Macaca mulatta: one gene and its partners. The protein of the gene in region 1 interacts with the protein of each later gene in a biochemical or structural test. Links are inferred from orthologs where the notes say so. Each region holds a gene or a part of one and is shown in the gene's direction. Other genes may lie near its edges.

Evidence for each region. The genes of interacting proteins can lie anywhere in the genome.
Region 2: the proteins of XIAP (region 1) and CASP9 form a complex in vitro, tested with the Homo sapiens proteins (12 studies listed by BioGRID and IntAct, with this or other methods). The link is inferred for Macaca mulatta from reciprocal best matches to the Homo sapiens genes XIAP and CASP9.
Region 3: the proteins of XIAP (region 1) and HTRA4 form a complex in vitro, tested with the Homo sapiens proteins (2 studies listed by BioGRID and IntAct, with this or other methods). The link is inferred for Macaca mulatta from reciprocal best matches to the Homo sapiens genes XIAP and HTRA4.
Region 4: the proteins of XIAP (region 1) and PGAM5 form a complex in vitro, tested with the Homo sapiens proteins (2 studies listed by BioGRID, with this or other methods). The link is inferred for Macaca mulatta from reciprocal best matches to the Homo sapiens genes XIAP and PGAM5.

The regions. Positions count from the first base shown.
Region 1 is NC_133426.1:130,314,086-130,318,182, forward strand, and holds the start of XIAP (E3 ubiquitin-protein ligase XIAP), read left to right. Parts: upstream 1-1,144; 5' UTR 1,145-1,356; coding exon 1,357-1,621; intron 1,622-4,097.
Region 2 is NC_133406.1:225,516,926-225,521,171, forward strand, and holds the start of CASP9 (caspase-9), read left to right. Parts: upstream 1-1,419; 5' UTR 1,420-1,440; coding exon 1,441-1,572; intron 1,573-4,246. UniProt on the Homo sapiens protein: Involved in the activation cascade of caspases responsible for apoptosis execution. Binding of caspase-9 to Apaf-1 leads to activation of the protease which then cleaves and activates effector caspases caspase-3 (CASP3) or caspase-7 (CASP7).
Region 3 is NC_133413.1:40,930,021-40,934,289, forward strand, and holds the start of HTRA4 (serine protease HTRA4), read left to right. Parts: upstream 1-1,442; 5' UTR 1,443-1,585; coding exon 1,586-2,141; intron 2,142-2,443; coding exon 2,444-2,543; intron 2,544-3,957; coding exon 3,958-4,162; intron 4,163-4,269. UniProt on the Homo sapiens protein: Serine protease.
Region 4 is NC_133416.1:140,082,136-140,086,232, forward strand, and holds the start of PGAM5 (serine/threonine-protein phosphatase PGAM5, mitochondrial), read left to right. Parts: upstream 1-1,270; 5' UTR 1,271-1,305; coding exon 1,306-1,496; intron 1,497-4,097. UniProt on the Homo sapiens protein: Mitochondrial serine/threonine phosphatase that dephosphorylates various substrates and thus plays a role in different biological processes including cellular senescence or mitophagy. Modulates cellular senescence by regulating mitochondrial dynamics.

The DNA.
Region 1 (4,097 bases):
AAGATCTCCACTCAAAAGCTTCAAATTGAGATTCTCCTGCTCATGTTGAATGATGGTTTTATCTAATATTTTCTGAAATAGGGTGACTACTTGAACTACACAAAATTGTGAAATGAGAATATCTTTGATTTTATACTTTGTTTTTTCTTTTTTTGAGATGAAGTCTTACTCTGTCACCTAGGCTGGAGTGCAGTGGCACAATCTCGGCTCATTGCAACCTCTGCCTCCCAGGTTCAGGTGATTCTCGTCCCTTGGCCTCCCGAGTAGCTGGGATTACAGGCGTGTGCCACCATGCCTGGCTAATTTTTGCATTTTTTGGTAGAGATGGGGTTTCACCATGTTGGCCAGGCTGGTCTTGAACTCCTGACCTCAAGTGATCCACCCACCTTAGCCTCCCAAAGTGTTGGGATTACAGGCATGAGCCACTGTGCCTGACCACTTACATCTATTTTGATTGACTTGAAATAAAATTTAACACCCCAGGGAAGGCAATTCTCATGTGTTTTGAATTATACTGAGCATTAATTCTTCAGGATAATTATAGACTTGGAAATGTTTAATCCAGTCTCCTAGTCCATGCTGAAGCTCCTTTAAGTGATAGGAGGAACTCATAATCTACAAGGCAACCCAATCCATTTGTTGCTATATCAATTGTTATAAAGCTCATCCTTGGGTTAAAATTGGCTGTTTATAGTTGTATTTAATGACCTTAATTCTGCCCTCAAGCTATACAAAATGTGGATCTCTTTTCTACATGATAACCTTTTAGATATCAGTCTATCCTCCCTACCCTTCCCCTCACAATTTTTCCACCCTTTGCGATAAATATCCTTTGCTATTCTAACTATTTCTCATATGATATCATTTTTATCATCCCAATTGCTCCCTAAGGACATTAAACTTTGTTAATGTCCTTTCCAAAATGTATTTGGAACTGGAAATAATATCCCTTGGTAGCTGAATTGGATCTGGATGTTGCACATCTGGACACTAATGCAGCCTGAAGTTGCTGTAAGTTTTTTAGTCAACTTGTAATGTTGGCTCATGATGAATTTGTAATTAATTAAAATTCCAAGGTTTAATCTGGAGGATTGCCTTTATGTGATTTTTTCTTAAACCAAGTCTCCATTTTCTTTTAGTTATGCAACAGATTTTTTTTTTTTTTTTTTTTTTTGAGACGCTCGCTCTGTCACCCAGGCTGGGGTGCAGTGGCACGATCTCAGCTCACTGCAACCTCCACCTCCTGGGTTCAAGCAATTCTCCTGCCTCAGCCTCCCGAGTAGCTGCGATTACAGGAGTCTGCCACCACGCCTGGCTAATTTTCTTTGTTTCTTTTTTTTTTTTTTTAAAGTAGAGATGGGGTTTCTCCATGTTGGTCAGGCTGGTCTTGAACTTCTGACCTCAGGTGACCCACCCTCCTTGGCCTCACAAAGTCCCGGGATTATAGGCATGAGCCATTGCACCCGGCCCTTTTTTTTTTCTTTCTTTCTTTTTTTGAGATGGAGCCTCACTCTGTTGCCCAGGATGGAGTGCAGTGACATGATCTTGGCTCACTGCAACCTCCGCTGCCCGGGTTCAAGGGATTCTTCTGTCTCAGCCTCCCGAGTAGCTGGGATTACAGGTACCTGCCACCACGCCTGGCTAATTTTTGTATTTTTAGTAGAGATAGGGGTTTCACCATGTTGGCCAGGCTGGTCTCAAACTCCTGACCTCAAGTTATCCGGCTGCCTTGGCCTCCCAAAGTGCTGAGATTATAGGCATGAGTCACTGCACCCGGCCTATGCACCAGATATTTTTAAAAAACCAGATGTAAGACTTTACACTTACCCCTATTAAATGTTATCTCATTAGCCTATCAGGTAGCTTTGGTTTTTTACTTTTATTTTATTTATTTATTTATTTTTTTGAGACAAGAGTTTCGCTCTTGTTGCCCAGGCTGGAATGCAATGGTGCGATCTCCGCTCACTGCAACCTCCGCCTCCTGGGTTCAAGTGATTCTCCTGCCTCAGCCTCCCAAGTAGCTGGGATTACAGGCATGTGCCACCACGCCTGGCTAATTTTGTGTTTTTTAGTAGAGACGGTTTCACCATGTTGGTCTAGCTGGTCTCGAACTCCCGACCTCAGGTGATTTGCCCACCTTGGCTTCCCAAAGTGCTGGGATTACAGGCGTGAGCCACTATGACCGACTGGTTTTTTTCTTAAGACTAGTCAAGTGCAGAGTGAGAAGAGGGAAAAGAGTAGAACAAGGGGTTTGATCAGCCTTGGTTTCTTTGAATCTTGATTTTTGTCATTCGGTTTATTATGCTGATTCAACAGAGGGCCCTGAAGCTAATGTTGGAATGTTTTCAGACATCTAGGAAATGATAATTCATCAAAAGTCATGGAGACTATTCCAAAAGTTTTATGCAGATATAACTCAGCTGTTGAGGTATGAGTTAATACCACTATAAGTTGACATGGCCAGGAAAGACAAGTCCATTGCCAACTTGCTTTGTGTTGAACATTACTCCAAAAGAGATTAAATTCTAAGACATATTGTGTCAACATAAAGGCAAAAGAGCTGGCTAATTCTTCTCAAGAAATCAATGGCTCGACCTTTTGGCTCATGCCTGTAATCCCAGCATTTTGGGAGGCCGAGGTGGGGGATCACCTGAGGTCGGGAGTTCAAGACCAACCTGACCAACCTGGAGAAACCCCGTCTCTGCTAAAAAATACAAAATTAGCTGGGCATGGTGGTGCATGTCTGTAATCCCAGCTACTTGAGAGGTTGAGGCAGGAGAATCGCTTGAACCCAGGAGGCAGAGGTTGCAGTGAGCCAAGATCACGCCATTGCACTCCAGCCGGGGCAACAAGAGCAAAACTCCATCTCAAAAAAAAAAAAAAAATCAATTAATGCACATATAATATAGAGACAGAGTTCTTGTTACCATTATTTTGCCTTTGACAAGTTTATATTGAGCACATTATCAGGCAATGTGGGAGATTCTGGAGAACCAGGTTTGCCTCATAGCTAGGGTTACCATATGCTCTAGTTTGCCTGGGGCAACCCTGATTTATGCCTGTTGTCCCAGTGTGATTATTGCTAGTGTGATTTTTCACTTTGAGAAGTGTCCAGGTTTGGAAGATAAATTATCTTGCTATCCTTCTCATAACCTAATGGGTTCTCTTTAGTATTTTATCTGGGTTAAAATTACACAGCTGTAATTTGGCAGCTCTAATAAGACTGCAACAATACTTATCTTCCATTTGAACAGATTGTTACTTGACCAAGGGGAAGTTTTGTTTTTTTTTTTTTTTTTTTGAGGCGGAGTCTCGCTCTGCCGCCCAGGATGGAGTGCAGTGTTGCGATCTCGGCTCACTGCAAGCTCGGCCTCCTGGGTTCACGCCATTCTCCTGCCTCAGCCTCCCCAGCAGCTGGGACTACAGGCGCCCACAACCATGCCCGGCTAATTTTTTGTATTTTTAGGTGAGACGGGGTTTCACCCTGTTAGCCAGGATGGTCTCAATCTCCTGACCTCGTGATCCGCCCGCCTCGGCCTCCCAAAGTGCTGGGATTACAGGCATGAGCCACTGCGCCTGGCTACCAAGGGCAGTTAATAGCAAAAGTAACTGCAGGGCACATGTATGTCATGGGCAAAAAAAAAAAAAAAAAAAGCAATTAAGGTTTGCAGGTACTTAGAGTTTCTCCTGAGCCACTCTCTAGAGGGCAGTATTACATATATATCTGTAATTATCCAGTTACAACAAAAAAGGGGATCTGGTTCATGCATGAAAATCAGAAATATTTCATACTCTTAAAGAACACATTGGAACCAATATTATGATTAAAACATATTTTGCTAAGCAAAGAAATATTAAAATTAATTCATTAACATTCTGAACATTTTTTAATTTGTAAAAACTGAACTTTGATGCCTTGAATATATAATGATTCATTATAACAATTACGTACAGACTTTAATAATCTGCATATTTTATGCTTCTTTCATGTTTTTCCTAATTAATGATTTGACATGGTTAATAATTATAATATATTCTGCATCACAGTTTACATATTTATGTAAAATAAGCATTTAAAAATTATTAGTTTTATGCTG
Region 2 (4,246 bases), on another chromosome or scaffold:
GGGTCTACATCTGTAAAACTGGCAGGGGGTGGGGGCGGGAATACTTTCCTGGCAGGATTGTAGTTAAGGATAAATGAGATAAGCATGAAAAGTGGCTAGCACGATGCCTGGGACTTAGCAAATGCTCAGTAAACAGAAACGATTATTTTTGAAATGTGAAAATGAACCGTTCAAAACGACAGGAGTTTAGAGGGACTAGATTTCTGCCAGTTTTTTTTCTGTGTGGGAGGTGTTAGGGTGGGAGGGAGGGAAGAGGGAACGGAAGACTGTGTAAGGTGGGCTTGGTTGGATCAGACACTCGAGTTTGGAACAGTCAACTGCGATCTGGGCACAGGGGCGGTGAGGGGAGCTTATGGTTTTTCTTGGGGTGGAGGAGGAGGCTAAGGGGAATCCATGCCCCGGAGGAGGTTGAACGGGGTGGGGCAGACCGTGGCTCCACTCATGGTTTCCCTCTTTCTGGAAGTGTGACGACTCTCTCCGAGTCTCTGTAAAAGCGGGGCCGTAGTGAATTCTGGCGAGGGGCCCTCGGTGGACTGGGAACTGGTGCCACAATTGCAAACGGGCACCTGCGCCCGGAGGGGGGCGGTGACGCGGGGGCGGGGCTGGGCCCTGGGAGCCGGGCGAGGTGCGGAGGTACCGCCTTGGGGCCGGGCGGTGACAGGAGATTGGATCCTGGGGCTGAGGATTGACTTTGGGGGCGGGGCGAGGGTGCGAGCTGGAGTCCGAGGCGGTGCGGTGACGCATGGACGATTCTGAGGGTGGAGCGAGGGGAGGGGGTTGGCTCTTGGAGGCCGGGCAGTGGCGCGAGGCTTGGCGTTGGGGGCGGGGCGGTGGCGCAAGATTGACATTGGGGGCGGGGTGGGGGCGTGGCGGTGGCGCGGGATGGATTCTGGGGTCGGGGCGAGGCGCTGAGGTGCGTCCTGAGGGCGGGGTGAGACGCAATTGCGAACCTGGGGGCGGGGTGAGGCCTTAGAGACGAGTCCCGGGCACTGGGCGGTGACGCGGGGGCAAGTTCAGGGGCGGGGCGGTGACCCGAGAATTGACCCTGGGGGCAGGGCGAGGCGCGGAGGTGCGTTCTGACGGCGAGGCGGGGACCCAAGAGCGAATCCTTGGGGCGGGGCGAGGCCTTGCAGATGCGTCCTGGGGGCGGGGCGGTGACGCGGGGGCGGTGCGGGGACGTGGGGGCGGGTTCTGGGGCGGGGCGGTTACCCGAGAGTTGACCCTGGGGGCAGGGCGAGGCGCGGAGGGTTGTCCTGAGGGCGGGGAGGTGACGCAAGCGCGACTCCTGGGGGCGGGGTGAGGCATTGGAGATGCGTCCTGAGGCGGTGGAGCGAAGACTGACCCTGGGCAGTGACGCGGGGGCGGGCCCTGGGGAGTGGGGCGGGTCCTGGGGACTGGGGCGGGCGGCCGAGGCCCGGAAGCAGACTGAGGCTCTTCGCCATGGATGAAGCGGACCGGCGGCTCCTGCGGCGGTGCCGGCTGCGGCTGGTGGAGGAGCTGCAGGTGGATCAGCTCTGGGACGCCCTGCTGAGCCGCGAGCTGTTCAAGCCCCACATGATCGAGGACATCCAGGTGCGCCCCCGCCCCTGGCCCCCTGGCCCCGCGCTGCACGGCCGGGTCCCCACGCCCCTCGAGGAGCCATTGTGCGGGAGCCTAGCTTTCCCTGTGGCTTCGAACCCCTCAGCGGAGACTAAGAATCCCGAACACCTCTTAGTCGGGTGTTCGCTAAAGCGATTCCACGCCATACTCAGTCAGCGTCCACCGTTAGTGCTTGTGTGTCTTGTGTAAAGGAAAAATGTGAGACCCATCTTGAAAACTTTGAATTAGAAACAGTTCATGAATCGGAGAACACCAGACTGAAAGAGGTTTAGTGTTGCAATGACAAAAGGTCAGAGGCAAGTATTTATTGGGAAAATGTGGAAGCAAAATAACGAAATTATTTGATTGGTTTGCAGTTACAAAATTGCCCTTTTTTTTTTTTTAAAGGTCTGTTAGTTGATTGCTTATGCTTGCTTATCATTGGCTGGAGTTAAGTTTTACTTCTCTCTAACATAAGCATTTATCAGATATGACCCAAGTTAAATTTTGCTGTTTGCAGTTTAAGCAAGATTTAGGTCACTAAGGATACCTGATCGGTTTTGTCTGCTCAGGAATTATTCATGGTTGGTCTCCATTTTAGTTTAATACTTGCGAGGAAGGAGGCGTGTGCGTTTTTACTTTTCTAGTATAGAGATATTGGGAACCCACTTTGGCATCAAGACTGCCTGGCAGCGTGTTCTTGGGCCAGTCATTTACCCTCTTTGAGCCACGGTTTCTGGGCTGTGAAATGGGAATAAGAATAATACTGTCATAAGGACTAAATGAAATAATGGATGTGAAACAATGTAGTGCCAGGCACAGAGCGAGGGCTCAGTGTGCCCTGCCCTCTTTGGCCAGCCCCTTCTGTGTTCAGTTTATGTTTTGTTAAGAGGTTTTGGAAATGAGGGGACCTGATGCAGGTAATGGAGAATAATAAAGTCAAACATTTGAGGTTTTCTTTAAAAGCACTTTCTCATCTTTATCTCATTTGACCCTCATCACAGGCCTGTGAGGACTCAGGAGATATTTCCTACCATGAGGTGCAGTAGGTGTGAGTGGCTGGCTGGATATCCCTGGCCAGTGCCCTGGCCCAGGGAAAGAGTCTTTAAATAATTGAGTATCATATGAGTAATTATTCATTAATAATTAAGTCTTGTGACTTCTGTGTGGCCCCTACTGGGGAACAGAAATGGTTTGAGGCCACAGTCCTTGCCTTCAGGAATGTTCACGGGGATCACAAACTCAGTGCCTGTGGAGGCCTGATGGATGGGCATCATAGTGGATACCTTTGCACTGCTCTCTGACTCCAGCTGAGTATGGCCATACCAGCAAATGGCCCAGTATTGCCAGATCTTTCACTTATTTGAGGCAGGGTCTCACTCTTGCCCAGCCTGGAGTGCAGTGATGAGATCATGGCTCACTGCGACCTTGACCTCCTGGCTTAAGTGGTCTTCCTGCCTCAGCCTTTAGAGTAGCTGGGACTTTAGGCACATGCCACCATGCCTGGCTAATTAAAAAAAATTTTTTTTTGTACAGATAGGAGCCTTGCTATGTTGTCCAGATGAGTCTCAAACTCCTGGCCTCAAGTGATTCTCCTGCCTCAGTGTTGGGGTTACAGGTGTGAGCCACTGTACCTGGGCCAGCTTTCACATTTTAAAAAAGAAGCTGGAAATCTTGATTCCTCTGTCAAATTCCCTGGCTTAAAATGTTAGCAACAAATTCAGAAATTTTTTAAGAACCTTGTGGGAACCACAGGTTGCCATTTTGTCACCCTAGTATGGCTGAAAAACAGGCAGGTTTTGGATCTGGGCGCTCATCCTGGCCTTGTAACGTATTAGCAAGTCGTAAAAAACCACAACCAATGAACCAAACAAACAGAAAAACCCCTTTCTGTGACTCAGTTTCCCTGAAATTTCTTACCCTAAAAAGTTGGGAAATTGTAATTTAACTCTATCAGGTTATTGAGGGAGAAAAAGATGAACCAATGCATTTACACAGTGTTGACCTCCTGGAGTGTTTAGCAAATGTGGAGAGAAATCTAAACACCACCATCTATTTGCATGTGGCCAACTGCTCTGCTAGTGAGACTCACCTTCTTAGTGGCACTACAGGTTTGTAGTAGCCATTAGCCACATGTGGTTAAAGGTAAATTTGAAGTAATTAAAATTAAATAAAGTTAAAAATCTGTAGGGTCCAGCCCCACAGGGCCTGTGGGTTTTTCTCCTTGTGTGCGGAGACGAGAGATCGTAGAAATGAAGACACAAGACAGATAGAAGAAAAGAGAGCTGGGCCCTGGGGACCACTACCACCTAGACGCAGAGACCGTAGTGGCCCCAAATGCTTGGCTGCGCTGTTATTTATTGGATACAAGGCAAGGGGGCAGGGTAAGGAGGGTGAGTCGTCTTAGGTGATTGATAAGGTGAAGCAAGTCACGTGATCATAGGAAAGTGGGCCCTTCCCTTTAGGTAGCCGAAGCAGAGAGAGAAGGCAGCATACGTCAGCGTTTTCTTCTATACACTCATAAGAAAGCAAAGACTTTAAGACTTTCACTATTTTTTCTACCGCTATCTACTACGAACTTCAAAGAGGAGCCGGGAGTACGGGAGGAGCATGAAAGTGGACAAGGAGCGTGACCATTGAAGCACAGCACCACAGGGAGGGTTTAGGC
Region 3 (4,269 bases), on another chromosome or scaffold:
TGCCTCACAGCCTCCCAAAGAACTCAGATTATAGGTGTGAGCCACCACACCTGGCCACCATCCATTACTTTTGAAAGCTTCAAAAGACTTGCTTACTCAATATCAGCTGATGGTTGATAAAAATAATTTGGCCTTTAGTGTTAAGTGAGACATCATAAAGTTATTGAGCCATGCATTATGGAGATTGGTGTCAGGTCAGAATACTGGAGTTATACATCTATTTCTGAGTTGAATACTCAGCTCCCACGAGAAAGAAAGTAGTTTTAAGGTCCAGCTTCTTAGTCTACTTGAAGCAAAAGTTTTTTTCTTTTCTATTTCTGAGTATAAATATACTCTTATATGGGCTAAAAGGACCCCATGAATAAATAGCAGGTTCAGTAGTTGAGGGGTAGAATTTAGTAGGTTTGTTTTCAGCGTAAATCAGATAACATATGTGGAGGTCACAGCATTTTGGAAATTGAGTGTCCCCAAGTGAGCTTTGTTTATAAACTTTAGACATGTTGGAAGTGGACAGGTTTGTTAAATCTTGTCTGCCAGCATCGTTTTCTTCCTTTGTTCCTTTTCCCTCTCTGTGTTATTGCCTGCGGCAGCCAGTCCTTTATACTAGATAGAGTTCAGATAAAGCAATGTTTGGCAAAAACATACTGTTTGACCTCCTCCCCCTCTGCTTATGAAGGGGTAGCATGATTCTGTGTTTTAAAGCAGTGATGTTTCAGCTGTGAAATGCACTGGCAGTAAGCACTAGGCTGAGTGCATGGAAACTGTTACGCTTCTCATTTTATGTGATCTCCTAATTGGTATGTAGCAAAACTTTTCTAAAACTGTTTTGTGGCTTGTTTTGTAATAAAACCATGTGAAATACTGAAATATGGCCATGTGTTTTTCTAGTACCTTCTGACCACGGGTGGGTGAGCTTTCTTTTTTTTTTTTTGAGACAGAGTCTTGCTCTGTCGCCCAAGCTGGAGTGCAGTGGCACGATCCTGGCTCACTGCAAGCTCCGCCTCCTGGGTTCACGCCATTCTCCTGCCCCAGCCTCCCGAGTAGCTGGGACTACAGGCGCCCGCCACTGCGCCCGGCTCATTTTTTGTATTTTTAGTAGAGACGGGGTTTCACCGTGGTCTCGATCTCCTGACCTTGTGATCCGCCCGCCTCGGCCTCCCAAAGTGCTGGGATTACAGGCGTGAGCCACCGCGCCCGGCCAAAACTGTAGTCGGCAGGATTCGAACCTGCGCGGGGAAACCCCAATGGATTTCAAGTCCATCGCCTTAACCACTCGGCCACGACTACCCACCTATATAAATATTAAAAGTGCTCCAGGTGAGGATCGAACTCACAACCTCGGCATTGCTCCGCTCGCACTGTCATATAAGTACCGCGATCAGTCTGCCCCCATTGTCTGTTTTAGGGATTTCAGGAGGTAGGTTCCTCCTCCGGGTAGGGCTAGAGACCTTCCCCTCATTGCCTGGGGGAGAACCTGGCTCCGGGGAGCGGACAGGGGCGGGTGGTAGGGGATGTACGGGTGTGTATGTGGAGAGGTATGCCAGGCTCTGCCCCTTAAAGTTTGGGGGCCGGCGGAGGCGGCGCCATGGCCGGGAGAAAGTGTCTCTCATTTAGGAGCGTTTGCAGGTCCAGAGTGAAGTCACTGAAGAGTGGAAGCGAGGAAGGAAGGAGCAGGATGATTAGACCTCAGCTGCGGCCCGCGGGGCTGGGACGATGCCTCCTGCCAGGGCTGCTGTTGCTCCTGGTGCCGGTCCTCTGGGCCGGGGCTGAGAGACTACATACCCAGCTGGCCTGCCCCGCGGTCTGCCAGCCCACGCGCTGCCCCGCGCTGCCCACCTGCTCGCTGGGGACCACGCCGGTGCTCGACCTGTGCCGCTGTTGCCGCGTCTGCCCCGCGGCCGAGGGTCAAGTCTGCGGCGGGGCGCAGGGACAGCCGTGCGCCCCGGGGCTGCAGTGCCTCAAGCCGCTGCGCCCCGGGCTCCCCAGCACCTGCGGTTGCCCGACGAAGGGAGTGGCCGTGTGCGGCAGCGACAGGCGCACCTACCCTAGCCTGTGTGCGCTCCGGACCGAAAACCGGGCCGCGCGCCGCCTGGGCAATATCTCGGCCGTGCCTGTGCAGTGGGGGGACTGCGGGGATACAGGTGAGCCGCGGGGGGCGCGCACCCTGGGGACACTTTCTAACTCTGGAGGAGCGTAAAGGAACAAGACCTCACTGAGATCGCATAGTTCGCGCGGGGTCCTCCTGCGTCATTTGCCTCCTGGATTCGACCCCTCTCTGTTCCTGATTTCCTTTCCTCCATAACAGGGGCTCTTTACCTTCTGCTATGTGGATTCTCCCTCACCATGCACCTTTTGAACACTGACTTGCCTTTAACATTTTCCCAACTAGGATAGCAGGTCTGGTTCGCTCGAGGCGTACTCTTGACCCAGTATTTCTTCATAGGGAGCAGAAGGGCAGGCCCGCTCAGGAGGAATTACAACTTCATCGCCGCGGTGGTGGAGAAGGTGGCGCCATCGGTGGTTCACATGCAGCTGTGGGGCAGGTAAAGGAGGAGGAGGAAGACCTCCACTGTCCCAGCTAATGGTTTCTGCGTGCCTACCTACTCCAGACCCTTCGCAAGCGTCATTTAATCCTAAAACACCAGTGAGGAAACTGAGACATAAAGAGGTTGAATAACCTGTTCAAGGTCATTTAACCAAAGAGCAGAGGCACAAGGATAACTTCCAAATCCGAGCTCCCCCTGCCCACTTAGGTGGCTGGTGCTTTTTCCCCGTCCTGCCACAGACAAAATTTAAGGTCAGATGTAAGAGCTAGTAGGCATTTTCTTTTCTTTTTTTGAGACAAGGTCTTGCTCTGTCGCCAAGGCTGAAATGCAATGACAGATCATGGCTCACTGCAGCTCCATCTACCAGGCTCAAGTAATCCTCCCACCTCAGCCTTTGGAGTAACTGGGACTATAGGCAGGTGCCACCACACCCAGCTAATATTTGTATTTTTTGGAGAGACAAGGTATTTTTATATTGCCCAGGCTGGTCTCAAACTCTTGGACCCAAACGATCTGCCACCTTAGCCTCCCAAGGTGCTGGGATTACGGGTGTGAGCCACCACATCCAGCTTAGTAGGCATTTTGGTTGTGATCTTGCTCAGCCCCCACTTTGGAGGCAAGGAAATCCAGACCCAGAGAGCAGGGTTAATTTGTCCTATGTTACGAGGCCAGTTGGTGGTGGAAACTAAGCCAGAATCAGAGCCCTTTGATTCTCTCCTGCCTGGGTCCTTGACACTGTGGTACGAGGCTCTTACTTTTGCCTCTAGTATTAGGATTGGGTTCAGCCTTTTCGCAGCAGAGAACCCATGGGCTGCTACACTAACCAACTCTGAAGAGGCAGTGTCCCTGGAAAAGGAGAGCTGGAGCCAGCTCTCAACCATGCTCACAAGAGATGGCTGGGGCCCTGTGGGTGCCAAGTCCATTGATACATGGAGAAAATTTACGCATAGCCAGGGAAAAGTGAAATGTCTGAGAAAACTGTGATGGAAGTCTGGGCATGGTGGCTCACGCCTGTAATCCCAGCACTTTGGAAGGCCGAGGCGTGTGTATCACCTGAGGTCAGGCGTTCGAGACCAGCCTGGCCAACATGGTGAAACCCTGTCTCTATGAAAAATACAAAAATTAGTCAGGCATGGTGGTGCATGCCTGTAGTCTCAGCTACTCGGGAGGCCGAGGCAGGAAAATTGCTTGAACCCGGGAGGTGGTTGCAGTGAGCCGAGACTGTGCCACTGCACTCCAGCCTGGGCAACAGAACGAGATTCTGTCTCAAAAAAAGAAAAAAGAAATAAAGAAAAGAAAACTGTGATGGAGGTATGTTTAATAAGAGTGAGGTTCCCGTGACTCTCAGATGATATGGCTGTATCCCCTAACTTTCTTGCCCTCTGTCTATACTATTGTCTTGTGGAGACAGGTTACTTCACGGCAGGATGCCTGTTCCTGTGTACAGTGGCTCTGGGTTCATAGTGTCTGAGGATGGGCTCATTATTACCAATGCCCACGTTGTCAGGAACCAGCAGTGGATTGAGGTGGTGCTCCAGAATGGGGCCCGTTATGAAGCCGTTGTCAAGGATATTGACCTTAAATTGGATCTTGCGGTGATTAAGATTGAACCGAATGTGAGTATTTCAGGGCTGAGTCAGAGTCTGCATATTTGGAGATTTTTATCTATTTGCTGGTATTTTCTGCCCCACTACACTCTCACACCACATCTTTTCTGTCAAAT
Region 4 (4,097 bases), on another chromosome or scaffold:
CCTCTGCCTCTCCAGTTCCAGAGATTCTCCTGCCTCAGCCTCCTAGGTAGTTGGGATTACAGGCGTGTACCATCATGCCTGGCTAATTTTTGTATTTAGTAGAGACGGGGTTTCACCATGTTGGCCAGGCTGGTTTCAAATTCCTGACCTCGGGTGATCCACCCGCCTCAGCTTCCCAAAGTGCTGGGATTACAAACATGAACCACTGAACCTGGCCAATTTTTTTGTTTTGTTTTTTTCAGAGTCTCACTCTGTCACCCAGACTGGAGTACAGAGGCACGATCCTGGCTCACTAAAACCTCTGCCTCCCGGGTTCAAGCGATTATCCTACCTCAGCTTCCTGAGTAGCGGGGAATACAAGCGCGCACCACCATGCCAGGCTAATTTTTTTGTATTTTCAGTAGTGAGGGAGTTTCACCATGTTGGTCAGGCTGGTCTCGAACTCCTGACCTCAGGTGATCCGCCCACCTTGGCCTCCCAAAGTGCTGGGATTACAGATGTGAGCCACTGCGCCTGGCCCAATTTTCCTTTTTTTATGTTATTAATTTTTTTTGAGACAGGGCAAGCGTCCAGCAATGGGTAAGCGGTGGGGTCGGTCCACACAGGCGTCCAGCAATGGGTAAGCGGTGGGGTCGGTCCACACAGGCGTCCAGCAATGGGTAAGCGGTGGGGTCGGTCCACACAGGGAGCGCCGGTCCCCCTGGAAGGAAACCCAGGCTCTAACGAGGTTCCTCTGAGGACCCTGCTAAGCGAAATGCGCCGGCCACAGAGGGACTGTCCCGCAGGAGGCCGGGACCAGAAGTAACAGCCGGGCCGAACCTGAACGCACTTCACGCCGCTTGAACCGCACACGCAGGAACGGCGCCGGCGGAAAAATTTATTTCGGGTTCTGCCACCAAAAACATATCCTTTAAACAAATCTGCCGCGGTTTCCCAACTCCCTTAAACCAGGGCCCCAAGTTCTCCTCCGAGTCTCCGCCCCGCACCCAGCCTCAAGCCTGGGCAGGCGCTTCCGGTGCGGAACCTTCTGGAAAGCACCGCACCGCCCTCCCGGCGTCTCCACAGCTCCGCCCGCACCTGCGCGCACCGGCGTTCGCGAGCACCAGTGACGGGACGGAAGAGTGACGGGGCAGGCGGCTCCGCGAAAACACCCCTTCGCTGAAGGCTGCCCAGCGCCCCGCCGCGCCCCAGGAGGCGGGACTTCCGTCCCCGCTTCCCGGAAGCGGCCTCCCGCGGAAGCGTGTCCCTCGCGGAGCGCCGTCGGGGCCGTGGGCGCCTGCGCGGGCCGGCGCGGGAGCGGGCGGCATGGCGTTCCGGCAGGCGCTGCAGCTGGCGGCCTGCGGGCTGGCAGGGGGCTCGGCCGCCGTGCTCTTCTCGGCCGTGGCGGTAGGGAAGCCGCGCGCGGGCGGGGACGCGGAGCCACGCCCGGCTGAGCCGCCGGCCTGGGCGGGGGGCGCGCGGCCGGGCCCCGGCGTCTGGGACCCCAACTGGGACAGGTGCGCGCGGGGCTGGTCGGGCCTGGGGTCGGGATGGGGGTCAGGGCCGGTGTTACCGTTGGGATCGGGATCGGGACCAGGTTCAAGGTTGAGATCGAGTCGGGATCTGGGGTCGCCGTCCGCTTCTCCCGGCGAAGGAACCGCCTTCCGGGGCCGCTCTGCGCTGAGGGTTCTGGGGGCGGCGGGCCCTTCCCGCCGGCTTCTGTGGGCCGAGCTCCGCCTCATCGTCGCCCTTCTCTCCGCCCCTGCGAGTCCGTCCTGGGTGCCGTCGCCGGAGCGCGGGCCGGGGCGAGGCTGGGGTGGAAGCCGGGCCTCCTCCAGGGGCGTTTGCCGGAGGGCGCCCGCCAGCCGCGTGCGGTTAATGAGCGTTTGAAATATGGCCCGTGTGATTCCTGAAGGGAATGCTTAGTTTACGTCAATTTTAAACTTAAGCAGGCCGGGCGCAGTGGCTCACGCCTGTAATCCCAGCACTTTGGGAGGCCGAGACAGGCGGATCACGAGGTCAGGAGGTCGAGACCATCCTGGCTAACACGGTGAAACCCCGTCTCTACTAAAATACAAAAAAATTAGCCGGGTGCGGTGGCGGCGCCTGTAGTCCCAGCTACTCGGGAGGCTGAGCCAGGAGAATGGCGTGAACCCGGGAGGTGGAGCTTGCAGTGAGCCGAGTTCGCGCCACTGCACTCCAGTCTGGGCGACAGAGTGAGACTCCGTCTCAAAAAAACAAAAACAAACAAACAAAAATAAATAAACTTAAGCAGGGCCGGGTGCAGTAGCTCACGCCTGTAATCCGGGCGTTTGGGAGGCCGAGGCCGGAGGATCGCTTGAGCCCAGGAAGTTGAAACCGGCCTGGGCAACATAGGAAGACCCCCATGTCTACAAAAATTACAAAATAAGTTAGCCGAGCGAGGTGGCGCGCGCATGTGGTCCCAGCTACTCGGGAGGCTGAGGCAGGAGGATCCCTTGAGTCCAGGGGTCCCAGGCTGCAGTGTGAGCCGAGATCCCGCCACTTCACTCTGGCCTAAGCAACAGAGCCTGTCTCAAAGGAAAAAAAAAAAAGTGCAGGTTTTTAACATTGGTTATGTGTTGAAATAGTATTTTTAGCATATTGAATTAAAAGTATGATCGAAATTCACCTGTTTCTTTTTAATGTTGCCGTTAGAAAATTTATAATTTTCACATGTTGCTGGCATTCTGTTTCTGTCGGCCAGGACTGCTCTCGAGGCAAGGATGGTTTGCCCAGTCCTAACTGCTCCTTATACTCAGTATTCTGAGAAAGGGGCACAGAATTATACTTACTACTGTGGTTGTGTTAAGTACTTTATATTACTTTTTTTTCTTTTGTTAACCTTATTTCCTCTATTATTAGCATCATACACTAAGCGTGGTATATATATCAAAATTAATGAGCCGTAACCCATACATTATTACTAAGGTTCATGTTTCACTGAGATTTCCTCAGCTTTTACCTGCTGTTCTGTTCTAGGATCCCACATGACAAGCAATCTTCATGCCTCCTCAGGCACGTTTTGGTGGTGATAATTTCTCAGACTTGTTTCGATGATCATCACTGTTTGACGCATCCTGGTCAGGGGTTTTATAGAAGGTTCCTCAGTTGAGATTTGTCTGAAGATTTTCTCATGATTAGATGGGAGTTACATTCTTTTTCTTTCTTTTCTTCTTTTTTGTTTGAGATGGATTTTCGCTCTTGTTGCGCAGGCTGGAATGCAATGGCGCAATCTTGGCTCACTGCAACCACCGCCTCCTGAGTTCAAGCGATGCTCCTGCCTCAGCCTCCCGAGTAGCTGGGACTACAGGCGTGTACCACCACGCCATCTAATTTTATGTTTTTAGTAGAGACGGGGTTTCTCCATGTCGGTCAGGCTGGTCTTGAACTCCCGACCTCAGGTGATCCACCCACCTCGGCCTCTCAAAGTGCTTGGATTACAGGCATGAGCCACCATGCCCAGCCCATTAAATTCTTTTTTAAAAATCAGTAAAATATTCTGAATTTCTTAGGCCTTTTTAAGGAAAGAAATTAAGGTTAAAGAACTTGAAGTAGGTTGGGTGCAGTGGCTCACACCTGTAATCCCAGCACTTTTTGAGAGGCTGAGGCAGGCGGATCACTTGAGGTCAGGAGTTCGAGACCAGCCTGGCCAACATGGTGAAAGTCTGTGTTTACTAAAAATACAAAAAAATTAACCAGGCATGGTGGCACACACCTGTAGTCCCAGCTACTCAGGAGGCTGAGGCAGGAGAATCACTAGAACCCAGGAGGTGGAGGCTGCAGTGAGCCCAGATTGTGCCACTGCACTCCAGCCTGGGCGACAGAGGGAGACTCTGTCTCAAAAAAAAAAACTTGAAGTAGAACCAGGAACTGAGCCCAGCCTTTCTCTTTTAAGCAGGTGTTCTGTATTTGCTTGCCATGTCTGGGGAGAAGTGAATTGGGCCTTGTGGGCTGGGAAAGACTCGTACAGACAGAAGGCATGAGCAACTACAGGAAGGTGCTAGAAGACAGCGTGTTTCCTCTTGAGTCTGGTGTCCACGCTGTAAAGTTCCAGAGCCTCATCTGGTGAAATCTCCCGCTTCTTCCTGGAGGTCTCA